Callithrix jacchus: one gene and its partners. The protein of the gene in region 1 binds, or shares a complex with, the protein of each later gene. Links are inferred from orthologs where the notes say so. Each region holds a gene or a part of one and is shown in the gene's direction. Other genes may lie near its edges.

Region 1 (4,146 bases):
CAATAAAGTGAATTTTGGAACTGTTAATTACATCTTGAGAGAATTCTCTTAAATTTAGGGGCAATTAATATTTTAGAGGATAGAAATTAAGTATTAATGGCCATTATGCTCTACCAAACAGATCTTATTTTAAAAATAAATAGAAATAAGTACTATTATCCAGTTATGCCAAAATACTAAAAGCATGCATTGAAGAATACCTGACTAGCCATAGAAAAGACAAGCAGAAAACAGCAAAACAGAGATAGTGCAAAAAAAAATTTCCAGAGTAATTTAAAATTAGCTACAAGAGAGGCAGGAAACAATACTTCCATTATATCTACTTTAAAAAGATGCTCAGCTATCAGACAATTCTGTCCAAAATGAACCTGTGCTTCCAGAAGAACACTTCCTTCACTGTTTACATTTACATCTAAATCAAGCACATAAAAAGGAATCATCCTTGTTTCCCCAGGAGTATTCCAGAACAAAAGTAAATCCAGAGGTAGGATTCCCCTACAGGCATTCTCAGAATTAAAACAATGTAGACTGTGGGCTGGGCGCGGTGGCTCACACCTATAATCCCAGCACTTTGGAAGGCCAAGACAGGCGGATCACCTCAGGTCTGGAGTTGGAGGCCAACCTGGTGAAACCCCTTCTCTTAGCCGGGCGTAGTGGCACGTGCCTGTAATCCCAGCTACTCTAGAGGCTGAGGCAGGCGAACAGCTTGAACTCCCGAGGTGGAGGTTGCAGTGAGCCAATATCGCGCGCCACTGCACTCTAGCCTGGGTGACAGGGTGAGATTCTGTGTCAAAAAAAAAAAAAAAAAAAAAAAATATATATATATATATATATATATAGAGAGAGAGAGAGAGAGAGAGAGAGAGAGAGAGAGAGAATTATATAGCGAGCTGCATGTCCTCACTCCACTAATTCGGGTACTTTAAAATCCATTGCATAGCAGCTACACATTCTTGTATTGACACCAGATTGGTTAAGACCCTAGGGAGCATCCGAGATGTTTCCAGAAGCAAGGACTCCATCTCCGGGGATCACCCGGAAGTCTAAAAGCCATCGAGCCCCAAATCGATCCCGTAAAAGTGCTGGCTTAGCGGGGGATGAATCTGTATCTTTCTTGGAACTTCCAACCTTTAAATATTTTGAAACCAACAGCCCTTACGAAACCCTGCCATTTTCATCCTGGAAGAACATTTCTCGCGAAAAGACGAACTTCACGCTGGGCACCGTAATTGCGCTATTGCGCCGGCGCACGCCGGGCTCCGCACTTCCGCCCGGGCGGGCTGTCACTCACAGCCGCCTCCCGCCCCGCGCCGTGACGTAGCACTTCCTTTTTCGCTGGGTTGGGCACTCAGTCGGAGGGTCAGCGAGTTGACGGTTGTTGTGCTGCGGGCTGCCGCTCTCGTCAGGCTTTCGCGCTGCCCGTCCCGGGCCCTTTCATCAGTAATCGGTAGTGGATCATTCTGCAAACCAGCAGGAAGAACAAAGGAAACGAGAAGGAGACGCTGGGCTCCCTCCCGCTTTGCTCCGTTCGGCTTCCTTCCGCTTTGCTCCGTTCGGCCTGCTCCCGCTTTGCTCCGCTCGGCCTGCTCCCGCTTTGCTCCGCTCGGCCTCCTGTTCGCTCCAACCGGGTGAAACTGAACTTATAATCGTCACTGGATTGTAAGTACCCGAGGCGAAGAGAGCTTACTGCGCCCCGATTTTTTGAATGTCTTTGTTCCGGGAGAGTCTGTGACTTGGGAGTGTCTCTGCTGGGCTTTCTGGGCCGAAAACCGTTCCGCGGGAGCCGCCATTTGCTTTCCTGCTCTGTAGCTAGCTAGCTCTATCCGCGTTGTCCGGCAGCGGCACCTAGAGGTTGGGACTTGGCATTGCATCTGATTTAATGAAAAATCTGTGAATAAGCCATTGTTGTCAGTAACGACTGGTATTCAGTCACAGCATATTTAGAGAAAAGACTTGGACTTAAAACTGAAGCAAAATAGACGCTTAGCTGCTGATCTACAGAGAACTTCTTGTAATTAAACGATTTCAATTCATAGCAAACTGGTGTTTTAAACTGTTGCAGTAGCTGGAACTTTTCAGTGTAACCAGCATTTATTGGAGAAGTGAGTCACAAAGAAATAAAGATGAGTAAAAGCAAAGATGATGCTCCTCACGAACTGGAGAGCCAGTTTATCTTACGTCTGCCTCCAGAATATGCCTCTACTGTGAGAAGGGCAGTACAGTCTGGTCATGTCAACCTCAAGGACAGACTGACAATTGAGTTACACCCTGATGGGCGTCATGGAATTGTCAGAGTGGACCGTGTTCCATTGGCCTCAAAATTGGTTGACCTACCTTGTGTTATGGAAAGCTTGAAAACCATTGATAAGAAAACCTTTTACAAGACAGCTGATATCTCTCAGATGCTTGTAGCCACAGTTGATGGTGATCTCTATCCTCCAGTGGAGGAGCCAGTTGCTAGCGCTGATCCTAAAGCTAGCAAGAAAAAGGATAAGGACAAAGAGAAAAAGTTCATCTGGAACCACGGAATTACTCTGCCTCTAAAGAATGTCAGGAAGAGAAGGTTCCGGAAGACAGCAAAGAAGAAGTATATTGAATCTCCAGATGTGGAGAAAGAAGTGAAACGATTGCTGAGTACAGATGCTGAAGCTGTTAGTACTCGGTGGGAAATAATTGCTGAAGATGAAACAAAGGAGACAGAAAATCAAGGCCTGGATATCTCTTCTCCAGGAATGTCTGGTCACAGGCAGGGCCATGACTCATTAGAGCATGATGAGCTTCGAGAGATATTCAATGACCTCAGCAGCAGCAGTGAGGATGAAGATGAGACCCAGCATCAAGATGAAGAAGATATAAACATCATTGACACTGAGGAAGATCTGGAGAGACAGCTACAGGAGAAGTTAAATGCATCAGACGAACAGCACCAAAAGAATGAAGGAACCAATCAGCTGGTTATGGGAATTCAGAAGCAGATTGACAACATGAAAGGCAAGCTCCAAGAGACCCAGGACAGGGCAAAACGACAAGAGGATCTCATCATGAAAGTGGAAAATCTGGCTCTCAAGAACAGATTTCAGGCTGTACTGGATGAGCTCAAGCAAAAGGAAGATCGAGAAAAGGAGCAACTCAGCTCTTTGCAAGAGGAGCTAGAATCACTCCTAGAGAAGTAAAAAGAACTCTGCTACTGAATTTCAGTCTTCAGACTGGTCAGCAGTAGAAAATTCTTAGCTTTATTACTTGTACTGCATATTAAGACCTTGCCCTTCCTAGTCCCTCTAATGCTGGGTGTTCTGTTGAATTCTTTTGTTTTTAATTTTGTTTTTCTGCAAACTTACCTTGTTTTGCTAGTTGTTAATCCTATAAGAAAAATTATATAGGCAGAAAAATGATTGTAGGAAAGTTGCAGTATTAGTGTAATGTATGGTTCAACCTTAATTATAGTTTCACTGCAGGACTTTGCTGTTTATCCATTTTCCTAGAAGCTGGTGTTGCTGCTTTGTGATGACATGAGATCAATAAGAAAAACTTAGTCTAGAGACAGTGAAGCTGGTTTGTATATGTTTTCCCATGCAATAGCTGTTTTCCCAGTTATTCAAAGCAGTTTCCCATATGTAGAACTGCAAATTATTTTATAAAGTTTTCAATACAATAAATAAAAGCGTCTGTTTTTCACCTTATAATGTATCTTGTTCTTTCATGGTTGGTGGGAGTGAGATTCTCTTGGGAGGTGTTTTTGTGGTGGAGTTTAGTAACTGAGCAATTTAATCCTGTTCTGCAGGTAGAAGCAGTTGGATTTTATGAAAAAAAAAAAAAAAAAAAAAAAAAGGAACGTAGCAGGGATAAAGAAATTGGGAGTTGTCAAATTTGCATCACATTAAGGTTCCAATTCTGTCTGATCTACTTGAAGCTGGGAAACATTAGATACAGAGCTTTCTTTACCATAATTTCTGTAGATGAAGGCCTTTGTGCTTTTTTTTTTTTAAAAGCACTAAATCTACCTGCTTAAAATGTTGAAAACAAAGCAGTGGTTATCAAGTGCAGTCCAATGAACCATTCCATTGGTTTGAATTAAGATTTTATTTCTAATTTTCTTCAATTGAGTTCCTACAATTATTTAATATTCTAAGAACTGAGGTTATTTAT
Region 2 (3,500 bases), on another chromosome or scaffold:
AGTAAAAACAAACTGATGTGGCTGTTTCTGCTAGAAGAAATGTTCACGAGTGAAAGCAAGTATTAGAAGTTACCATTAATTCAACAATAATGAACTTTAGACTTGCCCTAAGGTAACAGTTTCTCCCAGCATTCAGGGGCGGATGTCTCTGTCTGTGTCACATTGCGTGTTAGACACGTGCGCATGCACTGAAAGCAGCTGCTCAGTCTTTCAGACTGGCTGTTCAACACTAGTGCCGTCATAGTTTTTGCATGGTACAGGGAGTAAATGTAAGAGGAGTAAGAGGAGAGATGCTTGTAGGCTATGGACTGGGGTAGGATTACTTCACAGAAAAGATAAGATTTGAGTTGAGCTATGACGTATGGCTGTGTAAGGGTATCAAGTATTCCAGGTTAGAGAATAGCAGACACTAAGCTGTCCAGGTGACGTTAAGCATAATCAAAATACCAGTAAGGTGATCAACTCCATATGCAGTCCACTCCAAGGGTGCCTGACAAAAATGTCAGCAGAGTGAAATCAGGTTATGGAGGGACTTAAAAGCTAGACAAGAGAATTAAAACATGTAGTAGAAAACATTGCATACTTGTAAGTCGGGGGCAGAGTATGATTGAAGTGGTATTTTAGGAAAATTCTATCGACAGTGATGTGGACAAGAGATTGAAGTGGGCAGAACTTTAGACTATAGTAGACAGTGACAGTAAGAATAGAGAGAAAGGAAAACATCTGAAATCATGGTTTAAAAAAAAAGTGGGGGGACTGGGCATGGTGGGTCACACCTGTAATCCCAGCACTTGGGAGGCTGAGATTAGGAGTTCGAGACCAGCCTGACCAACATGGTGAGACCCTGTCTCTACTAAAAATACAAAAATTAACCAGATGTTGTGGCACATGCCTGTAATCCCAGCTATTCGTGTGGCTGAGGCAAGAGAATCACTTGAATCTGGGAGGCAGAGGTTTCGGTGAGCCGAGATCATGCCATTGTACTCCAGCCTGGGCAAAAAGAGCGAAACTCTGTCTCAAAAAAAAAAAGGTGGGGGGGCATAGGATTAGAAAAAGTACCAAATTTTGGTTTGAGCCTGCAAAGGATATGGAGGAATCGAAGATGATTGTATTTTTTAGACTGAGAGTGTAATAATAGCTTTAATAGGAATAGAGGAGTCGAAATGCATATTGACATTCAGTAAGAGGAAGAGTATTCGTTTTATTTTTCCTTCTTTTATACATCACAGAAGTAACCCATACTTGTAGAAAGAATGTCAGTAAAAACAAACTGATGGTGTTTGTTTCTTCTGAAAGAAATGTTCTCAAGAAAGAAATGAAAGACTGCAGAAGTATGTGGAGTTAGAAGTCTCCTGCTTCCACCACCGGCTTCCCTCTGCTGCAGCTTCTGTCCCCTTGAGCTGTTAGCCATTGGCTGAATATCCTTTCAGACGTTTCTGTATGCATTACTGCACATGTGTCCAATTCTAGCAATATTTGGATTCTTTTTCATTTTACAGTGTGATTTAATTTTAGGCATACTGAGTTTGAAGTGATCAAATTTCAGGATTTCAGTTAAAAAGTCAGGTTTTCAGTTAAATCCTTTAGACTATTGAAAATCAGAAACTGGAGTTTTCATAGACGTTTTTAAGGATGTAGAGACCTTAAGCTCTGCTAAGGGTAGGCATAGGGAAAACTTGCTTTTATAAAGAAAAATCTTACTATATCTAACTTTTAATCTCTTGATTTCTGTTCTAATTACATTTGAAAATTTATAGGTAAATTGTAAATTTACCTATAAACCCTATAAAAATTTACCTATAAATCCTGGGTGCACCCAGGACTACCAGTGCACCACCACCATGCCCAGCCATTTAAATTTACCTATAAATGGCTGGGCATGGTGGTGGTACACTGATAGTCCCAGCTACTCAGGAGGCTAAGGTGGGAGGATGGCTTGAGCCTGGGAAGTCAAGGTTGCAGTGAGCCATGATCGCCCTGCTGCACTCCAGCCTGGGCAGCAAAGTGAGACCCTGTCTCTTAAAAAAATAACAAAAAACAAGCAAAAACCAAACTTTTATGATATAGATCTTCTTTGTAAATATTTTCAGGTTTTAAAAATTCATTTAATTGTATGATTCATTCAGTAGCTATTGAGTACCAGTTATGTGCCAGCCACTGTTTAAGATTCCACAGATGCATCAGTGAACAACAGACGAAATATAATGAACATTGGCTTCGTCAGCACAGCAACTATTTACTTGATGATTAAAAAAAAAAAACAAAAAAGGGCCAGACACATTAGCTTACACCTGTTACCCCACCACGTTGGGAGGCAGAGGCAGGAGGATTGCTTGAGGCCAGGAGTTCAACTTAGCCTGAGCAACACAGCGAGAACCCATCTCGACAAAATGAAAAAAAAAAAAAAAAATTAGCCAGGTGTGGTGGCAGGTGCTTGTAGTCCCAGCCACTCAGGAGACTGAGATGGGAAGATCGCTTGAGCCCAGGAGTTTTGAGGCAGCAGGGAGCTATGATCATACCACCACACTCCAGCCTGGGCAACAAGCAAGATGCCATCTTTTTTTTTTTTTTCCCAAGATGGAGTCTTGATCTGTCACCCAGGCTAGAGTGTAGTGGTGTGATCTCGGCTTACCGTAACCTTTGACTCCCGGGTTCAAGCAGTTCTCTTGCCTCAGCAACCCCCCTCCGCCGCCCCCCGAGTAGCTGCGATTATAGGCACATGCCACCATGCCTGGCTAATTTTTGTATTATTAGTAGAGATGGGGTTTCACCATGTTGGCCAGGCTGGTCTCAAACTCCTGACCTTGTGAACTGCCTGCCTTGGCCTCTCAAAGTGCTGCGATTATAGGCATGAACCACCTTCTCCAGCCAAGATGCCATCTCCTAAAAAAAAAAAAAAACAAAAAAAACCCACAGTATTTTATTATTATTTGGGGGGGCATTTTCTGTGTGCTAGCCACAGTTCCGGATGCTTTTGATAATACTTTGATATTTGTTCTAGAGTAGCTGATCATGAGTTGGATTTTTTCTGTGGTGTGCTGGCTAGTTGTCTGATCGTATTTGAACGTGACTTTAATAATCAGCTTAAGCATGATTCTGTGATATTCTATTTAAAATCTATTAAATTCTTTCCAATAACTAGGTTAAAATACTTGATTCTGAGCTGCATATTTATTTAACTACTTTTTCTTAATATTTAAAAATATAGTCATGGGATTTTCTTCAAATAATTTGATTTGCTTTTGGCTTTGTTTCAGATGGCCGAACAGACCCAATTTTGGATGATGTTGGTGAAGCTTTCCAACTTATGGGGGTTAGTCTGCATGAACTGGAAGACTATATTCACAACATTGAACCTGTCACTTTCCCACATCAAATTCCGTCATTTCCGGTTAGCAAGAACAATGTACTTCAGTTTCCTCAACCTGGAAGTAAAGATGCAGAGGAAAGAAAAGAATACATTCCTGATTACCTGCCACCCATTGTGTCTTCTCAAGAAG
Region 3 (2,528 bases), on another chromosome or scaffold:
TGGGATTACAGGCTTGAGCCACTGCACCTGGCCTAGATTTTTTTTCTCCAGTGGACTTTGCTCATTTCTGCTGCCAAAAGTAAAGATATAAGAAAAGCATTGTTTCCTATGATCCGTGTTAGAGGAAGTAAAAAAATAAATAAATAAAAGAAAAGCAATCCCAGGGCTGACCTGTATGGGATGGTAAGTTGTCCCTAATGTAGTGATCCCTGGGAGCTGCCCCCGTTATTGAGTAAAAAGCCTGGCTGTTTCCCATTGCTACTCTAGCTGGTGAATTTTTTTATTTTTTAAGCAGGAGATACATACTTTTAAATTATTACTATTTTTTGAGACAGGGTCTTGCTCCGTTGCCCAAGCTGGAGTGCAGTGGCATGATCTTTAGTTTTTTTCATGTTTTTTTTTTTCTTTTACAAATCATCAATTAAGATGGTGTACAAAATGAGATGATAACAGTGGTGTGATCATAGCTCACTACAACCTCAAACTCCTGAACTCAAGGGATCCTCCTGCCTCAGCCTCCCAAGTGGCTAGGACTGTAGGCATGCACTACCACACCTGGCTAATTTTTAATTTTATTTTTATGTAGTTATTTTTTTGAGACAGGGTTTCACTCTGCTGCCCAGGCTGGAGTGCAGTGGCATGATCATGGATCACTGCGACAGCAGGTCCTGGGCTCAGGTGATCCTCCTGCCTCAGCCTCCTCAGTAGTTGGGACCACAGGTGCACACCACCACCCTGGCTTTTTAATTTTTTTGTAAAGACAAGGTTTTGCCATGTTGCCCAGGCTGGTCTCAAACCCCTGGGCTCAAGCAAATCCTCCCACCTTGGCCTCCCTAACTGCTGGGGTTATAGGCATGAGCCATAGCATGCGGCCTATAAGAAATATGTTTTAAACTGCTGTCTATGATAAAGCCTGATATGAAATGTTATACTAAAACTAATGTGATACATTTTATATCATTCTCTTAAAGTAAAAATGTCTTGGTTTATTTCCTTAGCAAGCTTAAGAAAGGTTAACGAGAATTACAGGACTCAAAAGGATTATGTGATTAGTAAATTCTTGTGTGATAATAAGACTTTCTCCTTACCCTCTGTTTAGCACTGGATGTGTGTGAGAAATGGGGAGAAATGCCACCACTGCAACCCAAACATATGAGGGAAGCTGTTAGAAGGTTAAAGTCAAAAGGACAGATCCCTAACTCGAAGCACAAAAAAATCATCTTCTTCTAGACCAAAGTCTAGAAAGGCCTGTTACTGACAGAAGAAGTATTGGTTCCGGACTTCCTGTAAGACTGGCTACTGGTGCTTTAGTATCTCAGTCCTCCAAGGATTCCATGATTTTAATGTCTCTCAAAACTCTTGATTATTCGTCACACCTAGAAAGTATGTAGCCTGTTTGATACTTGCCTTGACTAAATTTTGGGACCTCTTGGGGCATTTTGAAGTATTTGTCTTGGCCAGTTGGAAGAAGTGTGGGCCATAAACATTTTCTGGACAGGAGAACTGCTTTCAGAGAGAAAAATCTTTCCAAGAGGTTTTTTTTTTTTTTTTTTAGATAGGGTCTTGCGTGTCACCCAGGCTAGAGTGCTGGAGTGCAGCGGCATGTTTGCAGCCTTGAATTCCTGGGCTTAAGTGAAGTGACACTCCCACCTCAATCTCCTGAGCAGCTAGGACTACAGACACACACTACTGTGTCCAGTTAACTTATTTTTATTTTTTATGGACATGGGGTCTTGCTTTGTTGCCCAGGCTGGTCATGAACTCTTGGCTTGAAGCAGCCCTCCTGCCTCAGCCTCCTTAAGTGCCAAGAGCTTTAATGGTTTCACATTGAAGCCTAAAGTTGCTAAGACTTAGTTCGTTTCTTACAACCAGTTTTAAGTAGATGAAACAACCAGAAACTTTGACTTGTGATACTCTACCATGAAGGACGTGGTAAAGGCAGGAATCGTGGAATAACTGGTGCTTGTAAACATTTAAGATTCTCCTGTGGATTTTGGTGAGTGATCATTAAACTGTTTTCCAACTTGCCTTATGTGTATTCATTTTCTGTCTAGCTGGTGGTAATGGGAAGTTGATTATTTTCTGGTGTTCCAATACAACTGGTTTTGGCTATTTTGTGAAAATTTGAGTCCTTTTTCTAATAAAACCATTAAAATTTTCTCTCATAAAAGAGTACTTCAAGCACTGTTAAAAACAATGTAATAATCTCCCCCTAAAACTGAGAAAATAAACAATATAAAAGCCCATATATTTCAGATGCTTATCAACAGATATACAACAACCATTATGATTTAATAAATTTAATTTGTTTTTACAGGTGGTTCACAGAACCAGTACACTCAAAGTTTGACTAGATATTGCAACATTGAAGTTTCCCAATACGACTGGGATTCCAGTTCATCAGATACATTCTCATTGTTTTTCTCAAATGGAGGGGAATGAAGTGACCTTTTATTGACAGTGATTCGCAGTAATAAGGCTACTGTATGTAATTGGCAATCCCCAATAATTTTTCCTCTCTACGGAAG
Region 4 (3,500 bases), on another chromosome or scaffold:
GCTTCTCCATTGTGTCTCTCTGCCTGCAGGGAGCGCTGCTTCAGGCTGCTTTCCTGTTTCTTATTTTGATAAATTAGAACTTTTAAAACATTTTCATATTCTTGACTTGGGAACAGTGTTTGACTTTTAAAAGCTGCTTAGGAGCCCTAAAGCTTAGTAAATGAGTGGCCACTTCCCCATTGGTGTACAGATTGTTTTCCACGTAGCATAGGGCAATACCTTTCCATTTTATCTGTGTGACGTTTTCTCAGTCTTATGGCATTAATTTTGGGGGCAGGGACAGTATTGAGTGATTCCTTTGTCCTAGAGTTTGATGTGGGTTGCCTGAACATCTGTGTGAATCAATACTTGTCCCAGGACTCAAATTTAGGACACGGTAGATAAGAATAGGAGAGTCAAGTGTTGCTAATTTTAATTTTCTGAGACAAAGATTTTATTTTGGTCAGATTACAAAGCCCAGTTGACTGCAGCGTTAGTAACTGAAACCCTCAATTGCTCTCGTGTTAGTAAGTGGAGAATTTCCTTTCTTTTTCTTTTTTTTTCTTTTTTTGAGACAGAGTTTCACTCTTGTTACCCAGGCTGGAGTGCAATGGCGCAATCTCGGCTCACCGCAATCTCCACCTCCTGAGCTCAGGCAATTCTCCTGCGTCAGCCTCCTGAGTAGCTGGGATCACAGGCACGCACCACCATGCCCAGCCAATTTTTTGTGTTTTTAGTAGAGACGGGGTTTCACCAGTTGACCAGGATGGTCTCGATCTCTTGACCTCGTGATCCACCCGCCTTGGCCTCCCAAAGTGCTGGGATTACAGGCGTGAGCCACTGCGCCTGGCCGAATTTCCTTTCTTAGCTATGTAGATGCCAGGTTTATTTAAAATTGGAGGTTATTTTTCTTTTTACTATAAATATGTATGAAGTAAAATAATATTTTTGTATTCCTTAATGTTAAAAAATTAAGACATTCATAGAATGAACAAGGAAATTAAAGGTAAGAGCCTGCATTTTTCTATGAGAACCGTAATCCTACTTATTTTACCAGATGTCTTTGCTGGACTGTTTAAACATTGATTAGGAAGCCATATATGCTTAGTAAGGTTTAGTTAAATTTTATTCTGCTTTTTTCTCTTTCTAGATAATCAGGAAATGAAATCAAGGATATTGGTAAGATTACAAAAATCATTACTTTGTTTATATGACAACTGTAGACAATTAGAAAACAAACTGGAGGCCAGGCGCCGTGGCTCACGCCTGTAATCACAGCACTTTGGAAGGTGGAGGCAGACGGATCACTTGAGGTCAGGAGTTAGAGACCAGCCTGGCTAACATGATGAAACCTCATCTCTACTCAAAATACAAAATTAGCTCGGCGTGGTGGTGCACGCTGTAATCGCAGCTACTCAGGAGGCTGAGGCAGGAGAATACCTTGAACTTGGGAGGCGGAGGACGTGCTAGAGTAAAATAACCTTGGTAGTTTGGGAAGGTGAGTGCCTTGCTAAGCACGATATGAAACTCAAAGCTTAAGATCTTGAAAATATGAAACTCCCAAAACAAGGATGAAGGAAAAAGTTTTAGGAAAAGTATTTCCAGCAGAGCTACCTGACAGAAAATTAACCCAATATTTCCAAAATAAAAAGCGGCTCTTATAAATTAGTTGTTAAAAGTCAAGCTTAAGAAAAACAGGTAGAAAACAAGCAGTCTGCAAAAGAAGAAATGCAAAAGGTCAGGTTAGCGTTTGACAGTATGTTCAGTGTTGCTAGTAAGCAAAACATGTCAAATAATGAGATTTTCATTGTTGCTCTGCACAAATGAAAAAACTGGCAGTTCCCAAGGTTGATGGTGCAGTTGGGGATTGATTGTTCTCATGCATTGCTGATGGGAGGGTAACTGGTAAAAATTTTTCTGGAGTGCATTTTGGTAATCTGTATCAAAATTAAATGTCCATATCAGTAATCAATCACTGCTTATTTCCTGGAAGTATTAGAGAGTTGTGCAAGGGTACATGAGGGTGTCATCAGAGCATTGTTTAAAATGGAGAACTGGAAACTGCTTAAATGGTGGATATTTATGAAGTCAGCAAGAAGCACAGTATATATTCTAATTCATCAACGTTAAAATATTTTTTCCCACATATATTGTGGACTGAAAAAGCAGGTTGCAGAATCCTAGGTAATCATCCTGACACCTGTGTGTGTATTTTGAGTGTGTGCATTTTGGGTGTGTGTATGTGTATCTTGGATGTATGTGTGTTTCCGGTGTGTTTGTGTGTTTTGGGTGTGTGTATTCTGGGTTTGTGTGTGTTTTATGCGTGTATTTGGGGTGTGTATACTTTGGGGTGTATGTATTTTGTTGTGTGTGTATTTTAGATGTGTGTGTGGGATATGTTTCTTGGGGGGTATATTTTGGGTGTGGGGGTATGTGTGTTTTGGGTGTATGTGTATTTGTGTGTATGTATTTTGGATGTGTATATTTTGGGGATGTGCTTATTTTGGAATGTGTATATTTTCAGGGTGTATTTTGGGTGTTTGTGCCTGTATTTCGGGTATGTGTATGTGTGTGTTTTGGTTGTGCATGTATTCAGGGTGTATGTATTTTGGATGTGGGTGTGTTTTGGGTGTATGTGCACGTGTGTATTTTGGGCATGTGTGTTTGGGGTGTATTTTGACTGTGTGTGTTTTGGGTGTGTTTATATTTTGAGTGTGTGTTTTGGGTGTATGTGCATGTGTCTGTATTTTGTGTGTGTATTTTGGGTGTGCATGTGTATATTTTGTGTGTGCATATGTGTATTCTGGGCGTATGTACATGTGTGTGTATTTTGTGTGTGTGTGTCGTATATACCTACCTACACAGGTGCTCTCGAGAATGAGTTCCTCAAACCCTTACGTGGACTGTCGCTGGGTGGTGGGATTTGGGTGGAAATGTTACTATCATCTTTATCCTTTAGGTATCATTTAATAATGATAAATGGGAAGACAGATTGGAATAATGTTGATTGTGGTTCACAGTATATTGTGTGACACTGGTGTGAGAGAACTGGGATGTGCCTGAGCGGAATTAACATGGCTGTGATTTTTAGGTGATTAAGGCTGCAGAAGACAGTGCATTGCAGTATATGAACTTCATGAATGTCATCTTCGCAGCACAGAAACAGGTGAACCAAGAGCCTATGTTTTAAAAGTATTTGTTTCATAAAGAAGGAGTGAGTTTCATTTTTTGAATGCTCTACTCTGAGATATTCTGATTAAATTGCCTTGTGAATGGGCTAGGAATCCAGAATCTGTATTGTGTTGTAGTCTTTTCTCTATTTTGGGTCCTGGACCACTTGAGAATCTGATGCATTTCCAAAACAATGTGCACTCAGCCACGGTTTTGCATAGAGTTTATGGTATTCAGGTCACCCTTAGCCCATCTTTGGACCCCATGCCAAGAATCCCTGGTTTGACAGTTTGCTGTATAAACCTTGCCTCAATTTCTTTATCATTTTGCTGTGGTGAGGTCTATAAAGA
Region 5 (3,500 bases), on another chromosome or scaffold:
TCCTGGTGAAGAGGCTGTGAGCATTGTTGAACTGCTGACAAAGGATTTAGAATATTACATAAACTTAGTTGATAAAGCAGCAGCAGGTATGAGAGGATTGACTCCAACTTTGAAATAAGTTCTAGTGTGGGTAAAATGCTGTCAAACAGCATCGTATGCTACAGAGACATCTTTAGTGAAAGGAAGAATCTGTGGCAAACGTCATCAGTCTTATTTTAAGAAATTGCCACAGCTACCACCCTGATCAGTCAACAGCCATCAACACTGAAGCAAGACCCTCTGTTAGCAAAATGATTATGACTTGCTAGAGGCTCACCTGATCGTTAGCATTTTTAGCAATACAGCATTTTTAAATTAAAGTATATACATATTTTTAGACATAATGCTATTGCACACTTAATAGACTACAATATGGTATAAACATAACTTTTAAAGACACTGTGAAACCAAAAACTTCATACTGCTTGCTTTATTGAGATGGTCTGGAACCTAAACCGTAGTATCTCTAAGGTATGCCTGTATCTTCATTTGTAATATGTCCTTCACATTTTTTGCCCTTCTTAATTATTTGTTGATCTTCTTTTATGGAGTTGTCGGAGCTCTTTATTATTCTGTTTACCAGACCTTTCTCAGATGTATGTGTTTCAGGTATTTTTTTTCCCAGTCTGTGGCCCGCCTTTTAATTTTCTCAGTGGTGTCTTTCAAAGAACAGAAGTTTTTAATTTTCCAAAGCTCAGTTTATCAATTTTTCTTCATGTTTATCCACTATGGGATATTAAGGAAGAAAGCAATGTGTTTAAGAATAGCAGGTTCTTCCCTAATTAATGTCTAACAACCCCATTATTCTCAGAAGGCATCTGCCTTTGCACATCTCACCTGCTGTTCTACCAGGAAAGTTCCACCAACACTTAGCACCAGCTAGCCTAACCTGTTTTTCTCCCTGCTTTCCACAGGGTGCCATGACTCCTGGAATCCCTATCTTTAGTCCAATGATGCCTTATGGCACTGGACTGACCCCACAGCCTATTCAGAACACCAATAGTCTGTCTATTTTGGAAGAGCAACAAAGGCAGCAGCAGCAGCAACAGCAGCAGCAGCAGCAGCAGCAGCAGCAGCAGCAGCAGCAACAACAGCAGCAACAGCAGCAGGCAGTGGCAGCCGCAGCCGTTCAGCAGTCAACATCCCAGCAGGCAACGTCCCAGCAGGCGACACAGGGAACCTCAGGCCAGGCACCACAGCTCTTCCACTCACAGACTCTCACAACTGCACCCTTGCCAGGCACCACTCCACTGTATCCCTCCCCCATGACCCCCATGACGCCCATCACTCCTGCCACACCGGCTTCTGAGAGCTCTGGGATTGTACCGCAGCTGCAGTGAGTACTTGCTGTTTTATATGTCCTCCCCCTTAGGAGTCCCTTTGAGCTGTGTTCCTGCTCTGTTTTTAGATGCATCCTTCTATTAAGGGAGTGGCACTGATGGCGACTGTGTATCAAATTGCCTTATCTCACACTTGGGAAAGGGAGCAAAGCTGTCTTAGTGCCCTCAGTGAAAGGCTCTCTTAACAGGTTCAGAAATGTGGTCATTTGTGTTTATATACTTGAAACAACAAAATTTAATCTGAATTCCACTGTTATTATTATAGACATTTCCCTGTATCTGATATCGCTGAATCACAGTGTTGTGATTTAGCTTGTGATTTATATCTTCAAAGATATAAATCTTTGAAGGCCTGTGTCCTTCCCACAAAGTGAGAATGACTGTTCTTGTCCTAAATGGATTTTTCTACCTAAATGAAGTGGGTTCTATATGTAACAGGGTACTTGGGGTAGGAAATAATTTCATCTTCCTGAAAAACCAAGCAAGTATTTCCAAATAATCCCAGTCAATAAGAAGTGTATACCTTTTCATTTTAGAAAGCTTATGACCAAATGAAAAGGTTACTTGCAGTCTCTGCATCTCCTCAGTTTTCTTGTACAGATACCTCCCTCCTTCTTACTCCCTTTAGATCTAGTATTTCCTGTCTGCATGTGTTCATCTTGTTACACGCATGGTTGTAACATCCCCACTTCCTTTCTTTGAGACGGTCTCACTGTTTCCCAGGCCAGAGTACAGTGGTGTGATAACAGCCCATCGTGGCCTTTAACTTATAAGCTATCTCTGATCATTTTTGGAACTAAGTGGTGTGTAATTGTGGATGCTAACTTTCACCCAAAGACCTAAATCTTTCCTCCACAATTTTGTTTGAACCCACGCACAATTTTAAAAATAATTTTAGTGATTTTAGAGAGAGCCTTGTTAGCTCACCCTTGTCTACACCACTCCCATGTGTCCAGCATGCCTGTCTGACTCCCAGGGATGTTTAAGTTTGCATTTCTGATTTAAATCATAAACAGTCCAGTCAGGTGTTTGTTTCTTACCAGTGCCTTTGTCCTGACACTCTATAGAGCATCCAGTCATCCACATTCCTGAATTTCCACTATCTACTAAGAGCCCTACTAGTTTGTAATTCAGTGCCCTCTAAATCTTGTAGGCTTAAAGGAATTAAGGTAATTATTAAATTATTGAAAATATATGAGAATACATTCAACAACTATGTGACTAAAATCTACTTGATATAGTTCATAAGTGAACAAACACTAAAGGCAGGTGTGTATACAAAGGTGATTCGAAGGAAAGAGATGATACAGAAATGAAAACATTGTGTTGATCACCCTAATTGGCTTTACAGTTGTGTATCTTAGATTGCCATTCTCTGTTGAACAAAATTATGAGCCATCAAGTTTTCACAAGTATTGCATTTTGAGAGTACAAGAAAAAGAACCAGAAGCAACAGTGAGCTATTTGAACCCTATGCATTTGAAATCTGGAATCAATATTCTTGGGATGGTGATTTCCAGGTCTATGCAAGACAGTTTTTGAGCAGCTGATACATTCAGAGGGCATTGCCCATTTCAAGTATATATACTTTCATAAGCAGAAAAATGTATAATGAAAATAGGAGTTTGTTGTTTAAATTTTTATTAAAATTTCTAATAAAGTTACTTTTTAGTATATCTTTATCCTTATGTAATTATCCACTAATTTATTGAAGAACACTGAAAAATGAAAAGGGTCAGTGGACACAAATGGCTGTATTTACCCTTATTTACTGAGAGTTCCTTAGAGGAGAAAGCAGGGTTTTGCTTTTTTGTTTTCTGAAAACACTTAGCTCTTGTTTTTCCAAAAGATACTTACTTTGAGAGAACTGAGGCAGTTCATGCCTGTTTATCTTCAATATAAATACTGACTTCTTTTAGGAATAGGGTGGTAGTGGTGGCTTTTCAGAGCTCACAGGTGACAGTTGAGTTTGTCTATGAGGAGGCCAAGGGCGTGGCTCTGGAAACAGATTCAAATCCTGGCTCCACGGTTTGGGAGCCATGTGCATCCTGAGCAAGTTGTACTCCCTTTAAGCCTCAGCTTATTTATCTGCATGTGGGAATACTAGTAACTTCCTCAGTG
Region 6 (4,001 bases), on another chromosome or scaffold:
ACTCCTGGGCTCAAGCAGTTTGCATAGGAGTGTAACTTTGTGATTTCACTTTAGCCTCTCATTGGTTGCTTTCCACAACCAATCAGACTGATTGTGGCACCACTACTTCATTTAAACTATACCAAGTAACTTAATGGGAAACCGCTAGAGGGTATTTAAACCCCAGAAACATTCTAATGGGACTCTTGAGCCTGTATACTCTGTTCGCTCCCACCCTGTGGAGTGTATTTTCGTTTTCAATAAATTTCTGCCTTTATTGCTTCATTCTTTCCCTGCTTTGTGCGTTTTGTCTAGTTCTTTGTTCATAAACGCCAAGAACCTGGACACCCTCCACCACTAACCGTGTTATTGTTGTTAGTAGCAGTATTATTACTTTTTTGACATTAGTTTGGCTAATTAATCTAGGGATATTTTACAGTATCTAGATGTTCTGCCAAGTTTACTATACGTAGCTATCAGCAAAATTTGCAAAGGCAATGAAAAAACAAAATGATCAGAATAGCCCATAGCTTCATGCCTGTCGTACACACATTGCTCTCACATAGTTTTGTTTCATCTCCCAATTCTAAAAGGGTATGCAAGGCAAGATACTATAACCCAGATAAACCTAAGTAACCTATGTAAAGGACGTGCCTAAGAAGACAGCATGCTTGCTGATGACAGAGCCTGAACAGACACCTGTTCTGGATGACCTAAGTGAATTCTTTTTTTATTCCAAATTCCTTAGAAAGAATCACCCTTGGGGCACGTAGGAACTGGCTCTAGAGCTCCAATAGCCAGCTAAAACGGCGCCTAAAAAAAAAAAAAGAGAGAGAGAGAGAGAGAACTGGCTCAAATGGGAGCGCATGACGCGGGGTGGGTGGTAGCGGTGAGAAAGTGGGAGAGGAACGGGTGGTTAGACTTTTAGGGATGCAGGCTTTGGCATCACTATGAAGCCAGGGTTTTCTTCTGACAGGGTTTTAACTCTGTCAGATTGAGAGTAGCTCTGTTGTAGCCCCTTTGCAGGGTTCCCATGAGACTTTTCTTACCTTGACTCTCTTAGCAACATAGCAAACTACAGAAACAGAATAAGAACGTAAGAAATCGTGAAGCACGTGATGTATAGGACTCTGACTGTTCTTGGCCCTTCTCCCGACCCGTAGCCCCGCCCTGTTACGACTGCGTGGGTTGTCTATAAAGATTCATCTCTGCGCGTCTTTCCGCCACATTCGCTTCCTGTTTTCGGTGGTTCTGTTTTGGCTTGTTCCGGGCACCGCAGTGGCAGTGAAGATGGCGTCTACCAGCCGGTTAGTGTGTTTGTCCGAGCCCGGCGAACTAAGGGGCGGTGCCTCGGGCTTTTAGGCGGTCTCCGGGCAGCCTCATCGGGCTGAGCGCCTAAGGATATGGGAGAGAAGCGGCGGGACTGGCGGACCGGCCGGGACAAAGGCACTTCCAGACAGCAGGACTGTCGGGGTGTCGCAGGGGTTACCCAGCTATCGACGTTATTGCCCCGGCGTCCTGTGTCTTCTGTAGGCACCACCCTTTGTGGGTCCTGGTGGGCTTCTGTGTCCCCAGCCCTTGCCCTCGTGTCTTTTCCGAGTATTTCGATCTGCTTTTCTCTTTTTCTCCCCCTACGCTTGTTTTTTCATCTACGACCCAAACAATCAGGGGTCCACAATTTTCTCCTTTTCAAAGGGACGGGAAACAGTTCTAGACCCTTATCGGTCTGACAGCTAGGAAGTTGGGAACGTCAGCATTGGTAAGCCGGATGGAACCAGGTTACCATCGCAGCAGGCCTGGGAAGTGGAAGCTAGAGCCATCGAGAGTTGATTAGTTGCTTGCTAAAGGGTTTGTTTACAAATGTCGTTGCCTGTGTACTTCTGAAGAAAATCTTGTCTAAGAAAATTAGTTATACGTACTGGGAGGTCGTTCTGTAGTATATAGTTAAGAATGCAATGTACTCATATCTACAGGAAATGCATGTAGTATCTTCAGAAACAGCCTTTAATCTTGTGACCTGAAAAATGCTTTCAGACCCTAATTATATTTCTTATTACCACTATGAGGTAGATATTAGTATTTTTGCATAAGTGTAAACTGAGTCATGCCAATGTTGGCTTTTCCAAGGGTAGTGTTAGAGTGTAGAGTCTAAGATACCTGTTTCCTGTTATCCACACTTGGCCTCTGATTAACTAATGTTGTATTGAAAGTATCAAATGAGTTCTACAGCTTCCGGAACTCTGGCACTGTTTTTCTGACCCTGCCGTCGTCTGTGGAATTGGTTAATTTCATAGTGAAAGCCATTTTCACAGAATAATTAAACCTTTTCTGGTAACTGCCAATATTTTTTTTGTGTGTGGTTAGAAAAAAAGAGTTTGGGGTGGGAGGCAGCTTTAGCTAATGTACTGTTCGGATAGAGAACCCTTAAAGCCAGTGACACACTTTGCTGATTTTGATTCTTTGATTGGATACTCATTCTATCTGGGTGGTGTTCTGTCAGGTAAGGCCTCCTTGTAGGTAAATGGAAAACTTTAGCTTCCCCAAATCACTCAAATACGACTTAAGTTCTATCGTGGCTTTTTTTTTTAAGTCTGAAATTTTTTCTAGATATCTGCAATTTGTGTCATTGCAGTTCCAGTTTTTCTACCAGTGACAACAAAGTGTTAAATGTATTTTTCTTTTCATTTTTTGGAGGAGTCTCTTGCTCTTTCGCCTGGACTGAAATGCAAGTGGTACAATCATGGCTCACTGGAGCGGTGACCGCCCCAGTTCAAGTGATCCTCCCACCTCAACCTCCTGAGTAGCTGGGACTATAGGCGCACACCACCGTGCCTGGCTCATCTTTTTATTTTAAAATTTTATTAATTTTTATTTTTGTAGAGACAAGGCCTCATTAGGCTGCCCAGGCTGGTCTCGAACTCCTGGGCTCAAGCAGTCCTCTGGCCTTGGGCTACCAAAGTGCTGCAATAACAGGCATGAGACACCGTGCCTAGCCTAAATGTTGTATTTCTGCCTTTTGCATGTTTTTCCCTCGGGAAGATCTACTGACTAGACTATGAAACTGGCTGGTGTCCTCACCAAAGAGTACAAATGTGCATTCAAATGTAAGCTCCACCACTTACTATGACTTCGGCAAATCATTCTCTGAGCAAAATCTTTAAAATGGAAAATAGTGCCTTTCTTGCAGGATTGTTATGGAGATTGACAGTAATGTATAACACCCGTCATATAGTGCATCCCCAATAAATGATAGCTATAAATGGAGTTGGGGATTATCTGGTACTTTAGTAGTCTTATTTTAATGTCAGTGGTGGTGGTTTCTCTATTCCTTCCCTATTCTCTGTTACTATGTCCACCACCTGATTTGTATGGTTCCTCTTTTGTATTGTGGGTAATTGGATTAAAAGTTTACTAATTTAGCATACTTTTATTTTGATAGGTAAAACATACAAATCGTCCAAAAGCAAAAGCACGAAAGACTAAAATCATGAAAAGTAGTCTCCCTCGTTTCTTGGCTCCCAGCCATCTAAGTCTCCCCTGATCATAGTTACTAGTTTCTTGGTGTTTTCCTAGTACTTAAGCTTTAAAAAACAAACACAAATAGTTCTAACTGCTCTTCTCCCGAAAAGTGTCCTAATTTAAACTCTCTTCACTACCTTGCTTTTACCTTTTTTTTTTTTTTTTTTTTAATGATGTTAGGGCACAGATTTTAAAAGTGGGCAGCTCAGTTACAAAGTGAGCACATATATAAAGCTAGTACTCGGGTAAGGAAATCAGATACTGCTAGCACTAGCTAAGACACTAGCAAAGTCTCTCTCCTCAGTCATTCCTCCTCCTTAGAGAAAACCACATCCTGATTTCTAACACCATAAATTTGTTTTGGCTGCTTTAAAGTTGGCATAAATGGCATTTTATTCTGCTCTCTAGTACCTGTCAGCATGTTGAGGTTCATCCATGTTATTGTGTATAGCTAATTCACACTTTTTCAGTTTTGTATAGGTTTTCTACTTTACTGTTCTTAT
Region 7 (4,115 bases), about 100 Mb from region 1:
TCAATAATTAGTGAAAACAGTCAATTTAAGTGATACAGGAAATCAAAATTCTAAAATAATTTTACTTTTAATGACTATAACTGGATAAATAAACTACTTGTGGTGTTACAAACGGAGTTTTTCACATGAACTCAATGACGTATTTGAGAAAAACAGAAAAAAAAAATTCACAAACTGTTCTACTTACCTTTTGTCATTAAAATCAGGCAATTCTATTTGAGTAGTTTATATACTGAAAATTAAAGTTTTCCTTATTTCAAATTACAGTTGCAGTTCTTCATTTCCAACATTTCCCAAAAAATAAAATACAATGAATTCACTTGCTGTGGACAAAGAATTTAAATCTTACTGTAAAACTGTTTTCATTTGATCATGTTATTAGAAAATTTCTTAGTAACACTGTTTTTCAATTGTGTTTTCAAATTCTTAAACCTTTATGCAAACTAGTGAATTCAACAATTTTAAGTTAGCCAGAAGAGAATTTTAATGCCTACAAATTTATACACTGGAAAGTATACTGAACTATTTTACAGTTTGGAGCACACATCGCCTATAAACACCCCTACGTACTAGAAAACAAATTGCTGGCCTTTCGTCCCAAATCGTTCACGGTTAGACTTTGACGTTTCAAATGGTACACAGTTGGTAAAAAAACAAACAAAACATTTGAGTAAATATAGTTTGTAGCTCGAAATAAAAGATGCAGACTGTTGTCACCGTCAGGACTCTATTCACTCTTTGAAAACAAGATTGACAATTACCTCCTTTTAAAAGCAGGTAACTGTCCCTGAAGATGCCAGATTCCTGAAATGAGATGTCAGAGGTAGACCTTCAAGACTATTCCTAGCCGACCCACCACCACCCCACACAGTGAACAGGGAATACTAAGGTCAAATATTCGTCCAACGTAATCCTGTAATCAGTAGGGTGCCGGGTTGAGCTCGCAAATCCCCGCTGCAGGACTGGGCTCTGCACCCTCAATCTTCTCATCCCCAGATGGGACGGGCGGGTCAGGAGGAGGAGCGACGAGAGCCCAAGAAGGCTTGAAGGCAAAGATAGACTCGCGTCTCTAAGACATATACATATTATAGCGGCAGCCGCGGCGGCCTTACGTTCCCGGAGCTGCATTCCCTTTTCGGCGAAGAGCGGAGGCGAACAGGATCTACCCCGAGTGAAAGGGTAGCCACCTGGCCGTATCCGGGCCTCTCTGAGGTACGGCCTCCCGGGGACCTTTCAAAATGGTCGGCGCATCCGCGACGCAACCGAAGGGCGGGGCCCGCCGGAGTGTGTGACTTAGGCATCCAGCGCACTGCCTGACCCGAAGCACCGACCCGAGTTATGCCCACCCTTCAACTTTGCGATGGAAACGTGTTAGGGAAAGCTAGGTAACTAGTGGGCCGCAGCTGGGCCGCCGGGGCAGGCCGGGGACGCCGCGGTGGGCCTGGAGGTCCTTGGGGCCCGTGGGCTCTCACTGCCGCCCGCCCCTTCCGGCTCCTCCCCGTAGTGCAAAGGGCGCTTGAGCGAGGTGATCGGAGCAGTTGCAGCGAGGACCATGTTGCTTCCGAACATCCTGCTCACCGGTCAGGGCGCGCGGCCGGGAGGGGCTGGGAGGGGGCAGGCGAGGTTTGCGGAGTGCTCTGGGCCTCGGGCCCCGCTCAGTGTTCTGTTTGGAGGCCTCCCGAGGGCCGCGAGGCGGCTGCAGCGCCCCGGGAGCCGACCCTCACGGGCTTGGCAGGAGGTGGGGGAGGGGATGCGGAACGTTAATTCCGGTGGCCCGAGACTTCCGGGGGAGGAGGAGAGAGGTCGGCAGATCAGCTCTCCTGCTTGGCAGTCTGCTTAGTCTTTCTGAATCTGGTATTTTGTGTGTAAAATGGGTTGTTGATTCTTTGGCAGGGTTGGCTTTGGGATTTTTAGCGAAATAGTGTAAGGTCACATCTGTTCTCCAGTAGAGCCATTAATGGTGGAGGCCTCACTCCTTAGGCCTCCCTGGGCCATATTTTATTTTTTCCTTTGCTCCTCAGATCAGATTTCGGGAAATGACTTTAGATGTTTGTGGTGTGACTAAATTACTGTATGCCTTTGTTGAGTTACATCAGAGGTTCTCCCCAGCCCCTTAAAGGAGAGGAATCTAGTGAGCATTTCGGGTCGTTTCTCGCGTAGGAGTGGGTCTTTGAAGCCATACTCAGGGTGCGTGTTACCGGTGAAGGAACTAAAATGCTGCTGCGTAACGACTTCATCGAATATTTTAGTCCTTAAAGTGTTTATTAAATTGTAGACCATTCGTGGAAAAATCTAATGCATGTAGATTTTATTGGAACGTACCGAAAAATTAAGAGTCGGTGGAAATAAAGCAGTAAAGTTACAGCGTTCATCTAAACATAAGATGATTTGCAGCGCACAAGACATGTCTGTTTCTGAGAGGTGCCGATTAACCAGGCCACAAATAATGTTTAGCATTTAAGATTTCTTAAGTGGAAGATATCACATCTTTTTGCATGGATCAAACATAGTGCCTTGGTTATTAATATTGTGTCATTGTCAAAACTTTAAAGTGAGCATTTTATTGAAAACATAATTGAGTCCAGGGTTCAGACTTGGTGAATTATAGTGGACTTGAGGTAACTGTTAATCTCTTCCGTGTGGGAACTGGATTATCCCTGTTATCTTTATGCTCAAGTTTAATTTCAGGGATGTTAAACCTGAATAGCTGAAAATTACAAATTTGATCTTGAAGTGTAATTATAATAGGTATCAAAAGGGGAAGGTAAGAAGCAATGTATAGTATGTAGTATTGTCATTTATGTAAAAGGGAATATATGTTGTATTTATGTATGTATATACAAAGTATGTATATACATGTACATTCATATGCAACATAAATAGGGTTTCTCTGGGAAGATATACATGTATGGGAAACTGGTTCACAGTGGTTGTCTCTAGGGAAGGGTGCAAGGGGTAAGACTGCTTACATTTTAACATGAACAGTTTTTGTTTTTGTTTTGGGACAGTCTCATTATGTTGCCGGGGCTGGTCTCGAACTCCTGAGCTTAAGCAATCCCCCTGCCTTGGCCTCCCAAATTGCTGGGATTACAGGCATGAGCCACCACACCTGGCTATGAACAGTTTCTTAATCTATTTAAATTAAAGCAAATATGCCGGATGGGTGGCTCATGCCTGTAATCCCAGTACTTTGGGAGAGGGAGGTGGGCAGATTGCTTGAGCTCAGCCTAGGCAACATAGCGAAACCCCATCTACAAAAATTAACCAGGGCATGGTGGTACACACTATGGCCTCGTCAACTGGACATGCTGAGATGGGAGGATTGCTTGAGCCCGGGAGGTTAAGGCTGCAGTGAGCCAAGTGCCACTGCACTCCACCTGAGCAACAAAGAGATATCTTGTCTTTAAAAAAAAAAAGTAAATAAATGACTGTAATTGATTTGAGGTGGTTAATTTTATTCTGAACAGTTCCATGGTAGTAGCAGGCAGTTTGAATCTGCGACAGAATCTGCTGAGCCTCACCCTTGAAGGATCAATAACTGGGTAATATTTTGACATTCAGTTAGCTTTGGAAAATTTTTATTAGATCATAGACATATTGAGGTGGCTCATGCCTGTAATTCCAGCACTTTGGGAGGCTGAGGTGGGCGGATCACCTGAGGTCAGGAGTTCGAGACCAGCCTGGCCAATATGGGGAAACCTCGTCTCTAAAAATTCAAAGATTATTAGCTGGGTGTGGTGGCAGATGCCTGTAATTCCAGCCACTCAGGAGACTGAGGCAGGAGAATCACTTGAATCTGGGAGGTGGAGGTTGCAGTGAGTTGAGATTTTGCCACTGCATTCCAGCCTGGGTGACAAGAAGGAAACTCCATCTCAAAAAAAAAAACTTACATATGATTGCTAATTAGAAGATTTTTCATTTCATTCATTGAGAACCTTAAGGGCAGAGACCAGGGGAGACTCTGTCTCAAAAAAAAAAAAAAAAAAAAAGGGCAGAAGGTGGGCTACAGTGTGATGAGTAGTATTTCACAAACAATATTTTTCTGTGGCTTATCTTACAGGTACACCAGGGGTTGGAAAAACCACACTAGGCAAAGAACTTGCATCAAAATCAGG

The links.
Region 2: TAF7 (region 1) and TAF3 share a complex: the UniProt entries of both Homo sapiens proteins name them as parts of the TFIID basal transcription factor complex. The link is inferred for Callithrix jacchus from reciprocal best matches to the Homo sapiens genes TAF7 and TAF3.
Region 3: TAF7 (region 1) and TAF11 share a complex: the UniProt entries of both Homo sapiens proteins name them as parts of the TFIID basal transcription factor complex. The link is inferred for Callithrix jacchus from reciprocal best matches to the Homo sapiens genes TAF7 and TAF11.
Region 4: TAF7 (region 1) and GTF2H3 share a complex: the UniProt entries of both Homo sapiens proteins name them as parts of the TFIID-containing RNA polymerase II pre-initiation complex. The link is inferred for Callithrix jacchus from reciprocal best matches to the Homo sapiens genes TAF7 and GTF2H3.
Region 5: TAF7 (region 1) and TBP share a complex: the UniProt entries of both Homo sapiens proteins name them as parts of the TFIID-containing RNA polymerase II pre-initiation complex. The link is inferred for Callithrix jacchus from reciprocal best matches to the Homo sapiens genes TAF7 and TBP.
Region 6: TAF7 (region 1) and GTF2B share a complex: the UniProt entries of both Homo sapiens proteins name them as parts of the TFIID-containing RNA polymerase II pre-initiation complex. The link is inferred for Callithrix jacchus from reciprocal best matches to the Homo sapiens genes TAF7 and GTF2B.
Region 7: TAF7 (region 1) and TAF9 share a complex: the UniProt entries of both Homo sapiens proteins name them as parts of the TFIID basal transcription factor complex. The link is inferred for Callithrix jacchus from reciprocal best matches to the Homo sapiens genes TAF7 and TAF9.

What each region holds. Positions count from the first base shown.
Region 1 is NC_133503.1:39,749,875-39,754,020, reverse strand, and holds TAF7 (transcription initiation factor TFIID subunit 7), read left to right. Parts: upstream 1-1,346; 5' UTR 1,347-2,123; coding exon 2,124-3,173; 3' UTR 3,174-3,680; downstream 3,681-4,146. UniProt on the Homo sapiens protein: The TFIID basal transcription factor complex plays a major role in the initiation of RNA polymerase II (Pol II)-dependent transcription.
Region 2 is NC_133508.1:6,114,534-6,118,033, reverse strand, and holds part of TAF3 (transcription initiation factor TFIID subunit 3), read left to right. Parts: intron 1-3,257; coding exon 3,258-3,500. UniProt on the Homo sapiens protein: The TFIID basal transcription factor complex plays a major role in the initiation of RNA polymerase II (Pol II)-dependent transcription.
Region 3 is NC_133505.1:43,120,438-43,122,965, reverse strand, and holds the end of TAF11 (transcription initiation factor TFIID subunit 11), read left to right. Parts: intron 1-1,099; coding exon 1,100-1,230; 3' UTR 1,231-2,028; downstream 2,029-2,528. UniProt on the Homo sapiens protein: The TFIID basal transcription factor complex plays a major role in the initiation of RNA polymerase II (Pol II)-dependent transcription.
Region 4 is NC_133510.1:126,833,931-126,837,430, forward strand, and holds part of GTF2H3 (general transcription factor IIH subunit 3), read left to right. Parts: intron 1-955; coding exon 956-985; intron 986-1,129; coding exon 1,130-1,158; intron 1,159-3,070; coding exon 3,071-3,145; intron 3,146-3,500. UniProt on the Homo sapiens protein: Component of the general transcription and DNA repair factor IIH (TFIIH) core complex, which is involved in general and transcription-coupled nucleotide excision repair (NER) of damaged DNA and, when complexed to CAK, in RNA transcription by RNA polymerase II.
Region 5 is NC_133505.1:177,185,679-177,189,178, forward strand, and holds part of TBP (TATA-box-binding protein), read left to right. Parts: intron 1-953; coding exon 954-1,375; intron 1,376-3,500. UniProt on the Homo sapiens protein: The TFIID basal transcription factor complex plays a major role in the initiation of RNA polymerase II (Pol II)-dependent transcription.
Region 6 is NC_133508.1:126,117,452-126,121,452, reverse strand, and holds the start of GTF2B (transcription initiation factor IIB), read left to right. Parts: upstream 1-1,201; 5' UTR 1,202-1,269; coding exon 1,270-1,286; exon of another isoform or gene 1,287-3,069; coding exon of another isoform or gene 3,070-3,083; intron 3,084-4,001. UniProt on the Homo sapiens protein: General transcription factor that plays a role in transcription initiation by RNA polymerase II (Pol II). Involved in the pre-initiation complex (PIC) formation and Pol II recruitment at promoter DNA.
Region 7 is NC_133503.1:140,123,910-140,128,024, forward strand, and holds the start of TAF9 (transcription initiation factor TFIID subunit 9), read left to right. Parts: upstream 1-1,315; 5' UTR 1,316-1,385; exon of another isoform or gene 1,386-1,552; coding exon of another isoform or gene 1,553-1,802; intron 1,803-3,467; exon of another isoform or gene 3,468-3,542; intron 3,543-4,060; coding exon of another isoform or gene 4,061-4,115. Other genes in the region: cell cycle checkpoint protein RAD17, read right to left, coding at 188-197; AK6 (adenylate kinase isoenzyme 6), read left to right, coding at 1,553-1,802, 4,061-4,115. UniProt on the Homo sapiens protein: The TFIID basal transcription factor complex plays a major role in the initiation of RNA polymerase II (Pol II)-dependent transcription.